Linked DNA regions of Oryctolagus cuniculus. The main gene of each other region encodes a partner of the protein of the gene in region 3 in a complex. Links are inferred from orthologs where the notes say so. Each region holds a gene or a part of one and is shown on either strand. Other genes may lie near its edges.

Region 1 (4,222 bases), on a different chromosome or scaffold from region 3:
GAGGCTTAGCAGAACTGGCAGGACACACAGGTGCGCTCCTGTTTTCACCAAAGTGCTACCATCTGAGTGCACGCTGGCACTACCTCTGTGCCAGCAATTCACGTCCATCAAGTCTTAAAAACAACCATATCCTTTGGCCCGGTAATTCCACTTCTAGTAGCTTACCAGGAAAATTTTAAACTGCACAGAGATTTAGCCAAGAGGATATTCACCCAGCAAGCTAGTATCCAAACTGTACATTAACATGGAGTTGGTCAAGTCAGTTAAAGCACATACGGCTGAGACATGGAATATTTTGCAATTAATAAAAACTAAGTATTTATTTTTAAATATTTTATTTATTTGAAAGAGCTGCAGAGAGAGGTAGAGACAGGGAGAGAGGTCTTCCATCCGCTGGTTCACTCCCCAGATGACTGCAATGGCGGAGCTGTGCCGATCCAAAGTCAGCAGCTTCCTCCGGGTCTCTCTCGCCAGTGCAGGGGCCCAAGGACTTGGGCCATCTTCTACTGCTTTCCCAGGCCATAGCAGAGAGCTGGATCGGAAGTGGAGCAGCTGGGGCTCAAACCGGCGCCCATATAGGATGCTGGTGCTTCAGGCCAAGCCTTTAACCCACTGTGCCACAGCACCGGCCTCAAAACTAAGTATTTATTAACACGAACAGACATTTATGCTAAAACCTGTGCAAAGGCTCAGCAAAGGAATCATGTCCAATATTTTTTTTTTTTGCTTAGAAAAGAACAAAAGCCATTTAGAGCATACCTCTGCAAATACATCCACCTGAAAGGGACTGCAGTCACTTCTGGCAGTGGAAGTGTGGGAAGTGTGGCTGGTTTCCTTCCTTTATTTTTAATCTTGGCTTTGACAGCTTGTAAAGCTGTTTTCAGGGAGTGTCACCCCAGTCCTCCTTATGCGTTAGGTATCACACGGCACCTTCTGGCCCCAAACCTTCCTGAGCCCTGATCACAGGAAAAGCAGTGTCTTAGTTAAAATTCCAACACGTTTTGCCAGCGCCCCGCTCCGGGTTTTACCCGCGGGCCACCTCGTCCTTTGTCCCGGGTGTACGCCCTTCAAGGAGCCCGTGGCTCCTCTGGCCACTTGCTCCATCCCGCCGGGCCCGCAGGGTTACTGTCAAACACCATCCTGTCCTTGGGTCTCGGAGTCGTTTGCACTGAGACCAACGGACAAGAACCATTGGGCCAGACTGCAGGCCAGGAACTGAGGCGCTGGGGCCTGGCTGCAGACTCTCACCCCGCGCAGCCCGAACCCTCAGGGAGACGGGAGCACGGCTCGGCGCCGTCTTCCGGGAGAGAACTCGGACGTGGCGCCGCGGCGAATTTTGTCCCATCGGCGGCGCCGTCGCGGGCAGCGGAAGGCTCGCGTCACGTGACGGAGGCCCGCAGTGAAGCGGAACGCGACGGCTCCGGGGGCCCGGGCGGGGGTGCGCTGCCGGCCGGCGGGATGGAGGCGACCTTGGAGCAGCACCTGGAGGACACGTGAGCAGTGCGGGCCTCTCCGGCCAGTTCTGAGGTCGCAGCGCGGGTTACGTGCGGGACAGCGGGCGAGACCCGCGAGCGCCGGAGGGCGGCTCGGGGACGCCGTGCCACCCCAGAAGGCTGGCCGAGGGGACGGGGCCGGTGGCCCGAAGTTAATATCCCGCTGGGGCCCGCAGCCTTCCTCTCGGGGCGCCGTCCGCAGGATTAGGTCGTTCAGGAGGGTGTCGCAGGTGTGCCGTCGGCCGCACCGGGTACACACACACACAGATCGTGTGTGCGATCTGTCATTTGGTGTTTAAGGAAATACCTGTTCCTTAAATGTGTTAACGTCTGTGTAAACTCAAAGCTGCAAAAGTCTAAGGTGTACGTGCAGACACCACCCTCCCAGCCACTCCCTCGTCATCCCACTTCCCTTCCGGGAGGCAACGCCTCTTAGTTTGTCCAGTTGTCTTACCTGAGCTGTTACGTAAAGCGTGCGGTTAGAACGGCGAAAAACCCCGCATCCGAACTGTTGCGTGCGCCTAGGCTTCCCAAACCCAGCAGATACTCATTCTTCTCTGCAGCTGGCTTCAATTACTACTTTAATTTTGCTCGGGGTTGGGGAGTGTGGTAGGAAAGAGGTCGAGAAACCCATTTAAAGCACTTAGGCAATGCCTGATAGCATGGCAGGCCCACGGGCGTCATAACCGTTTGCATCCACTTTCTCAAGCCCTCTGCCTCACCTCTCCTGTGTTTCTGGAATTAGGATGAAGAACCCGTCCATTGTTGGAGTCCTGTGCACAGACTCACAAGGCCTCAATCTGGGCTGTAAGTATCTCCTGCCAACCCTTTGCTGGACTGCGCCACACCTGGTGTTGACCAAATAGTATTTGAGTCATTTCAAACTGGGCCTAGACAGGACTCGCCCATGAGAGCTGTGAGCATGTGCTGAGCCATATGCGAGGCTCCACCTGCCTTGCTGCACTTTCCACAGTATCCCTGCATGATGGGTGGGTGCAGTGTTCTAGTCCAAGTACACCAACAGTGAAAATAGGAGATTCTGAGTTTGGCACAGCTGAGTTCAAACACTCCCCCCACCCCCACCCCGTTCTTTCATTTGCTAGTTGTGTGAACTTGGGCCTAAATGAACCTTTCAGGAACTTTTTTTTTTTTTTAATATTTATTTATTTATTTGAAAGAATTAGAGAGAGGGAGAGACAGAGAGATCTTGCATCCTCTGAGTCATTCCCCAGATGGCTATAATGTCCAGGGCTGGGCCAGGCCAAAGCCAGAATCATCCAGGTCTCCCACAAGAGTGGCAGGGACCCAAACACTTGGGCGATCTACTGCTTTCCCCAGACCTTTAGCAGGGAGCTGCATCAGAAATGGAGCAGAAGGACACAAACCGCTGCCAATATGGGATGCCGGCATCAGAGATGTGTCATGGCACCGGCCTCCATGGCATAGCTTCACTGGGCTCTTGTTTACTGAGACTAGTGCTTACAGAATTGCGTGCTCTTCCTTGAGTTCCAGGTACCATTCTAATGGTAACTCACGCACTCCTCCTAACAACCAACGTGAGGCACAGAGGTAAAGTAGCTTGCCTAGGGTCATAGGGCGGTAATTGGCTGAGCTAGAAATGGTGTCAGGGTCCAAAGCCTCTTCAATCACAATGCCGTGAGATTATATAATATGCTTAAGACAGTGCACACCCAGATGGAACATGCTCAGAGAATGACAGCAATCACAGATGAGGAAATGATAGATAAGGAAAATGATAGATAACTAGAGCATTTAGTTAATGTCAGAACTAGTAAACCCAGGACACGTCTTAGTGCAAGAATTTTTAAAGCTCTGAATTTTTGCTGCAAGGGTAACAAAGCGGTAATCTATAACTCAGTTGCTTGGAGAAAAAAGGCAAATGTTTTGACGCTTTTGCCAGACTCACTAATGGAAATACTGAAATGAAGTGTGAAACTCTATTAGAGTTGCTTCAAGAAAGCTTCAAGGTGCAAAAGATGGCGCCGTGCTGGTGAGTTGCTGTCAGGAAATCCCTCTGCCCACCAGCCACAGGCACGGTTCTGCTTGGCCTGCCTTCATACACACATACAGGACACAGTAAACTCAGCAGTTACATTTTGTGCTTGGGACCCAAGGTTCCGTTATCATATACAAGCTAAAGCAGTCAGGAGTAGAAGACAATCGTGTGGGCATTTGAAAACAGCCAAGTAGCTATGCTAGCAGAAATAACTGCTCACAGAATGTTCACACGTGCCATCGAGGAGATCTGAGACTGCGTGACTCCTCAGGAGAGGAAATCCGCTTTCCCATGAGGAATGAATTAGCTTCAGCAAGCCTCTTGCGCGTATTGACTGCTTTTTGTCAATCTCACCTCTAAGCTTTTTGTTTTCGCAAGGTTCCTATCCAGTGAATTTATGGTTTTCAGAGTGACCTGAATTACAGCGTCCTGGTATGTTGAAGCTGTTTACAGATGGTGATAGGTGTGTCAGTTATAGCTTACTGATTTATTGATTTTTGTTGCCCGGCTTTCTCACTGATGTAACCACTGAGCGTCAGGGAACAGTCACTTCATGTAAGCACCAAACTTAAAGGACCAGGACCTGAACCTCCTCTTTGTGAATCATTCAGTGAGATACTGTTGCTCCAAACTTACTTGTGGCTCACCAGGTGCCCTGATACCATCGTTCTCTCTCTCTCTCAGGCCGTGGGACGCTGTCAGATGAGCATGC
Region 2 (4,109 bases), on a different chromosome or scaffold from region 3:
GCACCAAGGCCTGGGCCTGCAAGAGGGGGGGAAGAAGTCAGTGTCGCAGATGCCTGCCACTTGACGGATCCCAGTTCTACTCCCAAGGCCGCCCCTCAACCACTCCCACCTCCCTCCTGCCCACATCAGACACTAATTGAGCTGACGGAAGGACTTGAGAGCGGTGCGGTGCTGTGGGTGGGAGTGGACACAGTGACGGAGCACAACAGCGGGCCCACAGCTGCGGCAGGATGGACATGTACACACCTTGGCCTTGAGCATGCCGAAGCCCACGGTCTCCTTGGCATACATACACAGCAGAAGGTTGGCCACGCGGGTGATGGCTACACGGCCCTCCTGGTAGGGGATATGATGGGATGGGATGTTCTGTTTGACACTCACAGGACCCGCCTTCCCCGAGGGTTCCTGACTTAAAATGTATGTCTCGTCTGGGTTGCAGTCACATTTGAAAGTTACTGCTTTAAATAGCACCAGCTCCAGCTAGGCACCCATAGGAGTCACCTGCTGAGCCAAAATGGCAGTGGTGAGGTCAGGGGGGGCAGGCAGCCAAGTTACAGTGGAGACCCTTCCTGGTGCACGCACCCTTGCAATCTGTTCATTTTGGTTCTGCAAACCTTTACTAGGTGTCCGCTGTGTGCTGGGAACCAGGCACCACAGCCCCTGTCTTTCTGGTCCTATCTCCTGCTACCCTCCCGCGACTCAGGCCAAGCTTGCTGATCCTAGTCCAGGCCCCACTCTGTCACAGGACCTTGGTACTTGCTGCTCTGTCAGAGGGCCACATGACTGGACCCCCACCACCCTCTGTCCTTTGATCAAACATCGCCTTTTCAGTGACACTGGCCCTAACACACGCCCTCCATACCCTCTTACTTCCCTGCTTTGTTTTTCTCCATTGCATTTCATACGGTCCAGACCAGATAGTCTGCTTATTTTAAAACACATGTAAGGTTGTAAGCTCCACCAGGAATGGGGTTTTTGTCTGTCCTGTCTGTATGCCCCCTCTAGTCCTAAAAGTCCTGCAGGACCTAAATGGTCGTCACCTAAGAGATTCAGAGAGGAGCGAAGCAGTCCCTGTTCCCAAGAAAGTCACAGTGTAATGGCCACTTCTCCTGTCCGGGTCTGGAGACTCCGCCATGGCCCTGCAAGTCGGTGGCGCTGGGTGGACACGCTCTGCGTCTGAACAGCTCTCTACGGTGTAGACCCATTCTTTCATTTGATTGTCAACAGTCCCGAGGTGGGGGAGGATGGCTCATCACCTCCTGCTTGGAGATGAGGGAAGTGACTTACCCAAGGTTTCACCACTGCTAAGTGCATGGCAGAGACCAGAACCCAAGTCAGACCTGAGGTCCGGGGCTCCTTCCTCACCACCGCTGGGTGCTCCCGGGCCTGCCTATCGCAAACGCTGCTGCAGGACCAACTCTTAGCAATCTCTCGGAGATTCTGTCCCTGCCCCAACAATCATCCAGGATGGGGGCCAGTTCGCCCCCTGGGAATCCCCTTGGTGGATGGAGGAAGTCTGGCTCCCCTCTCTCCGTACCATGCAGTCCATGAGGATGAATTTAAGGTTGTCTTCGTTAAACGCCTGGTTCCCGTTTCGGTCATAAGCTGCCCAGATGTTACTCGCGATGGCCGCGGTGACCCGGGCGTCCGTGTCTCCATAACCCGAGTAGGCCAGCAGCGATCCCTCGTTATTCAGCAGCCTGGCGAGAGACAAGGATGGGATGTCGACATGCTCAAACGCCTGGGTCCCCGCCCCGACGCCCGTATCACTGGCGCTCCTACGAGGCAAGGGGCTGAGCTGAGCGTGTCCCGGAAGGCGTCCCGAGCCCCCAGCACGCTGGCTTCCCTTTCCAGAGGCGCGCTCTCGGTCAGCTGCGGGTCCCCTCGGCCGCCTCCCTTCCCCGCCCCACTCCGCTGCCGCCGCACGGGTCCACGGCCCGCACTCACAGGGTGCTCTGGACGCCTCCGGTGTTGGCTTGGCTTAGCACCTGGGTCAACGCCTTGGGACGCAGCATGCCAGCGGCTCGTCACCCAGCCTTTAAATCCCAGATCCTCCGAGCGGCGTCCCGCTTAGCCGCGGCCTGCGGCTTCCGGCAGTGCAGCGACCCGCTCGGGAACGCCCTGGGAGTTGTAGTTTTCCGACCCCGTGACAGCTGCTCTGGCCCCACCCCGCTCAGCCGCGGAGGGACTGGGAATCGTAGTTCCTGTGGTCTCGCAAGGCACACTGGGAACTGTAGTTCGCCTCCTCAGCTAGACCACGCGGTCGTGGGGGAAAAGAGCGGGAGTGGAAGGGCAATGTGGCAGGGTTGGGAGGACGTTTAACCCCTTGGCGGAGAGAGGTCATCATGGCCGCTTGGCTACTCACGAAGCGATAATAGTAGTAATAAATCCTCGTATTTGTCGGGCACAGCCTGGGTTACTTCTCAGAGCGGTTTTCTACGTTAGGCACTATTCTGTGGGATGAGGCAAGAGATTCTGTTTTCTTGAAACCGAGGCTGGAACGGTGACGCCGGCAACACCCAGTTCTCGCACCGTACAGAACAGGCCATTCAGGCCGTGGGCATCGGGAGCAACAGGGTCACTCCCTGAGTGGAGGCTTTAAGTGGACGTCCCGCGGGGAGAAAATTCAGACTCCCGGTGGAGCGAGGCCCCAGGCCTGGAAAGGAACTTGCACCGCCCAGGGAAGACCAAGTTATCACAGAAAAAGCGGCCACGCAGAAAGTCCTTTGTCCGGGAGCAGGAGTAACCGCGGAGGGGAGGGGGCGGCCCGGGGTCGCAGGGCACGGCGGCGAGGCTCGGGCCGGGCGGGGGTCTCTCGCAGGCCCCCGCCGTGAAGGACACGCCCTCCGCGCCCAGAGGCCCTCGCCACCCAGGCCGCGTCCCGGCGGCCGGACCCCAGGCCGGGCCCTGGGCGGACCCCGCTGCAGTGGCCCCCCCAGTCCGCCCGGGGCGCTGTGGCTGCGGCGGGTCCGGAGGGGGCGGCGGAGCCGCGGCGAGGGGAGGGGAGAGGGGAGTGTTGGAGGCGCCGAGCCGAGCCGGGCCGGCCGGCGGGCGGGGAGGAGGAGGAGGAGGAGGAGCCGGGCGGGCTGGCGGGCGGCCGGGTGGCGGCGGCGGCATGGCGGAGCCGAGCGGGGCCGAGACGAGGCCCCCCATTCGGGTCACCGTCAAGACCCCCAAGGACAAGGAGGAAATTGTGATCTGCGATCGAGCCTCGGTCAAGGAGGTAGTAGGGCTAGCGGCGGGCGGGGGGGGAGCGGAGAGGGAGTGCGGAGGAGGGGGCTACGAAGAAACGGGGCGGGGGGCCTCCGTGACTGCCTGGCGTCCGGGACGGCCCCGGGGAGGAGGGCGGGGGCCGGCGGGGACTCGCGTGGGCAGGAGAGGCGGATATGGGGCGCCCTGCGCGGGCGGGTCTGGGGGAGTGTGGCGCGTGCTGGGGGGAGCGGGCTTTGCACTGGAGCCGGGGCTGGGGGCGTGGTGGAAGAGTGGGTAAGGGGACACCTTGCGCCGGCCCCCGGGAAGCACCCTGGGGCTGAGGGGAGTGTGCGCCCCTGGAACTGGCCGGGGTTCGAGGCGCCGAGGCGCAGTGGCGGCCCCGGCTAGGTGCTGGACCCGTAGAGCGGGTAGGGGGCAGGCGGAGAGCGCCCGCGTCTCCTGTGTGGCCCGGAGAACGCCCAGAGTCCGCCGAACGCAGGGCGCGGGGTGGGGTGGAGGATGTTCTCTGCCCTAGATCCTTCCTGCTCTTTAAGCCCGAGGTGGTCACACTTGGTTTTCAGCTCTTCTGAGATTTGCACAGTGTGCAGTAGGTGCTCCATAAGGTTTTGTTGAATGAGGGACTCTTGCCTGCGTTCGCCACCCCCCTGTAGTTGCTCCAGAATTTCACATAGGCGGGGCTTCAGGATGGGCCATCTGGTTGGAAGAGAGGGATTTGGAAGCTCCCTTTGCTTATTAGCAAGTGCGCCTTTTCTACTCGGAGTGTGCGTTGGGTTGGGTTGGGCTTTGCAGGGACTGAGAATTGAACTCTCCCAGCAGTATAAAATGACTGAATTCCAGAAGAGGGGTCCCTGCAAAGCTGACTTTGAAAACAGCTGGAATTGAGAGGCAAGAGTGTC
Region 3 (2,798 bases):
TCTCGGGAGCAGACAGCTCTGCTGGGGAGGGCCTCGTCCTGGGGCCCAGGGGTCGGTTCTTGAGCTCCCGACGTGCACTGACTTCCTTCTAGATCCGACTGTTACGGGCTGTTACACCCCTCTGTCCAGTATCCTTTCTCCACCAAATCCTGGACTGTTTACTGAAGCCCCAGGGCTGTGGCTGAATTCCTGCTTTCTGCCTCTGTCCACCTTTTCAGTGCCTCTAGGACTGCTTGGTTATTCCCCTGTAGTTAACCCTAGGCCACCACCAGTTTGGCACAGCTCCCCACGCAGGCAGAAACTGAGTCTTGCCTGATAGCCCATAGAGTTGGGCACTCAAGCGAGTGCTTATGCTAGAGCTGGGCTGCAGGGAGAGCCCCAGGCAAGTTGGACTAAGGGTCTCCCCCATGGCCTCTCCTAGGATCGAGAGGAGCGGAAGCTGCTGCTGGACCCTAGCAGCCCCCCCACCAAAGCCCTCAATGGAGCTGAGCCCAACTACCACAGCCTGCCTTCCGCTCGCACAGATGAGCAGGCCCTGCTCTCCTCCATCCTCGCCAAGACAGCCAGGTGAGGGTCACAGGCCCGAGCCTGGGGCAGAGTTCCAACGTCCGTCTGTCCATCCGGACTGAAGGCTGGGATAGAGGGAGTTGGCCTAGGACATGGGGAATGGGACAAGGTCATTGAGGAGCTGCGCCTCAAGGCAGGGTGGGGCCACTGGTGTCGGATAGCCCTGGAGTTGGCACCTGGCACTGAGTCATGTTTGTCCCTCTCAAAAACACCTGTCATGTCTTCTCTGTCTCGTCCCCAAAGCAACATCATCGATGTGTCTGCCGCAGACTCCCAGGGCATGGAGCAACATGAGTACATGGACCGGGCAAGGCAGTACAGGTGAGCACTGGCCAGCTGGCTCCCTCAGGCCTTTGGGGCTCTCTCCACCCCAGCCCTGTCCCAGCTTTGCTCAGGCTCACTGTTTGGGTGCAGCCCAGGAGACTGCACACAAATCCCTTGGGCGCCTCAGATGTCCATGTCAGCTTCTGCCCTGTGATAGTCTTGAGAGTGTGCCTAGAGTGAGTTTGTGATCAGCAGAGACCCTGTCTCCCTGTCATCGGCCGGAGGTTAATAGACTTGCCTGGGCTGGGCTGGGGTGGTCAGACTGTGGCCTAACTGCCTTCCCCGCCTTGCTCAGCACCCGCTTGGCCGTGCTGAGCAGCAGCCTGACCCACTGGAAGAAGCTGCCACCGCTGCCGTCTCTAACCAGCCAGCCGCACCAAGTGCTGGCCAGCGAGCCCATCCCCTTCTCCGACTTGCAGCAGGTGAGCTGCCCCTCAGTCTGCCTCCCTTTCCACAGGAGGGTTCGCCCACCCTGCCCCGGGGTAGGTGGAGCAGTGGTGTTAGGAGCGCAGTGGCCTGTGGGCCCTGGCTCACTCCCACCTCGCTCTTTTTAATGTCCTCTTGTCTTTTCGCCCAATCCTTACTCCATCTCACCTCCTTTGTTCTTTTCCCTGGGCCCTTTCCATCCGTGGCTTTCTGTTTGGCCTCCTGTCGCCCATTGCCCCTTGCTCTTCGCTGATTCCCCTCTCACCTGTCTCTGTCCCTCTCCTCCGTCCCCTGTGTCTCAGGTCTCCAGGATAGCTGCTTACGCCTACAGTGCACTTTCTCAGATCCGTGTGGACGCAAAAGAGGAGCTGGTTGTACAGTTTGGGATCCCGTGAAGAGAAGCATCCTTGGACAGCTCTTCTCCTCTCTCCACCCCGCCTCCCCCAGCCCCCAGCCTCACTGCGGCTTATACAGTACCCTAACCTGCTACTAATCACGGAGATGTGGACGAGGAGGAGGAGAGTGAGGCTGGAAGCCTGAGCAAGTGAGGACGGAGCAAGGGAGGGTGGAACCATTTGGGACTGGCTTCAAAGCCCTAGCTAGGGGTGGAGTGGGGGCCAAAAGGACAGGTCCTCGCAGTCACTGGGAAGGTGGAGGTGCCACTGCGGGGGTGGTCACTGGGGCCCAAAGGGTCCCCCTCCCACCCTTCCTCTTGGCCTCAGAGTCACTCCTGTCCCCCTCTCCCTGACTTGGTGCTCACATGCACCTCTAGGGTTTGTGACCAGGGTCTGGATGAGCTTGAATTTGAATGAATTGAGTTTGTCTTTCTAGCACCCTGGGTTTTTACATGTTTGGTCTTTTTTCTTTTTGTTTTTGTTTGTCACCCTCGATAAAGGAAATGTATTCATCTGCGTTGGTTCCGGCCCCTCTGTCCCACCCATCACCCTACTACTTCTGGCTACCCAAGTCTGTGAGCAGTGGGGTGGGGGGCCCCAAGTCTTAGCTGAACCTTGGCCTGGGCTAACCTCAGATTGGATTCGACTGATCTTAAACACAGTCAATGCTGCACAGGCTTGAATCTGAAGCAGCTGTTGACTGTTGAGGGTCCTGCCTCAGGCTCAGTGGGGTCACCGATAGCCACAGGGTTGGGGGTAAACCAAGCTGTCCTGGGAACCCCTGATCTGGAGCCAGCAGGAAATGTTTTTAAGCAGAGATTCTTTGAATCAAATGAGATCTTAGCAGAAGCCTACCATATAAAAGCTAAGGCTGCTGGAAGTAGAGCATTGTGATTGAAGTGGGGAGGTTCTGAGATCACCACCTGTCTTCTGGACCTGCCACACCTGCCACGGGGCCTCTTGGGTGTCTCCTCTGACCTGGCGCTCTGCGAAGAGTTTGGGGATTCAGTGATCGATGCCAACCCCAGGATAACTAAGCTGAAGGGTACAGAGGGACCCTTCCTAAGGCCTTGTGGGAAGCCCAGT

The links.
Region 1: LAMTOR1 (region 3) and LAMTOR5 share a complex: the UniProt entries of both Homo sapiens proteins name them as parts of the ragulator complex. The link is inferred for Oryctolagus cuniculus from reciprocal best matches to the Homo sapiens genes LAMTOR1 and LAMTOR5.
Region 2: LAMTOR1 (region 3) and LAMTOR2 share a complex: the UniProt entries of both Homo sapiens proteins name them as parts of the ragulator complex. The link is inferred for Oryctolagus cuniculus from reciprocal best matches to the Homo sapiens genes LAMTOR1 and LAMTOR2.

Annotation. Positions count from the first base shown.
Region 1 is NC_091438.1:59,944,422-59,948,643, forward strand, and holds the start of LAMTOR5 (ragulator complex protein LAMTOR5), read left to right. Parts: upstream 1-1,361; 5' UTR 1,362-1,458; coding exon 1,459-1,493; exon of another isoform or gene 1,494-2,238; coding exon 2,239-2,300; exon of another isoform or gene 2,301-4,194; coding exon 4,195-4,222. UniProt on the Homo sapiens protein: As part of the Ragulator complex it is involved in amino acid sensing and activation of mTORC1, a signaling complex promoting cell growth in response to growth factors, energy levels, and amino acids.
Region 2 is NC_091438.1:42,634,833-42,638,941, forward strand, and holds the start of LAMTOR2 (ragulator complex protein LAMTOR2), read right to left. Parts: upstream 2,874-4,109; 5' UTR 2,016-2,873; coding exon 1,948-2,015; intron 1,701-1,947; coding exon 1,538-1,700; intron 337-1,537; coding exon 247-336; intron 17-246; coding exon 1-16. Other genes in the region: UBQLN4 (ubiquilin-4), read left to right, coding at 3,116-3,223. UniProt on the Homo sapiens protein: As part of the Ragulator complex it is involved in amino acid sensing and activation of mTORC1, a signaling complex promoting cell growth in response to growth factors, energy levels, and amino acids.
Region 3 is NC_091432.1:63,579,204-63,582,001, reverse strand, and holds the end of LAMTOR1 (ragulator complex protein LAMTOR1), read left to right. Parts: intron 1-421; coding exon 422-567; intron 568-810; coding exon 811-888; intron 889-1,186; coding exon 1,187-1,313; intron 1,314-1,619; coding exon 1,620-1,712; 3' UTR 1,713-2,224; downstream 2,225-2,798. UniProt on the Homo sapiens protein: Key component of the Ragulator complex, a multiprotein complex involved in amino acid sensing and activation of mTORC1, a signaling complex promoting cell growth in response to growth factors, energy levels, and amino acids.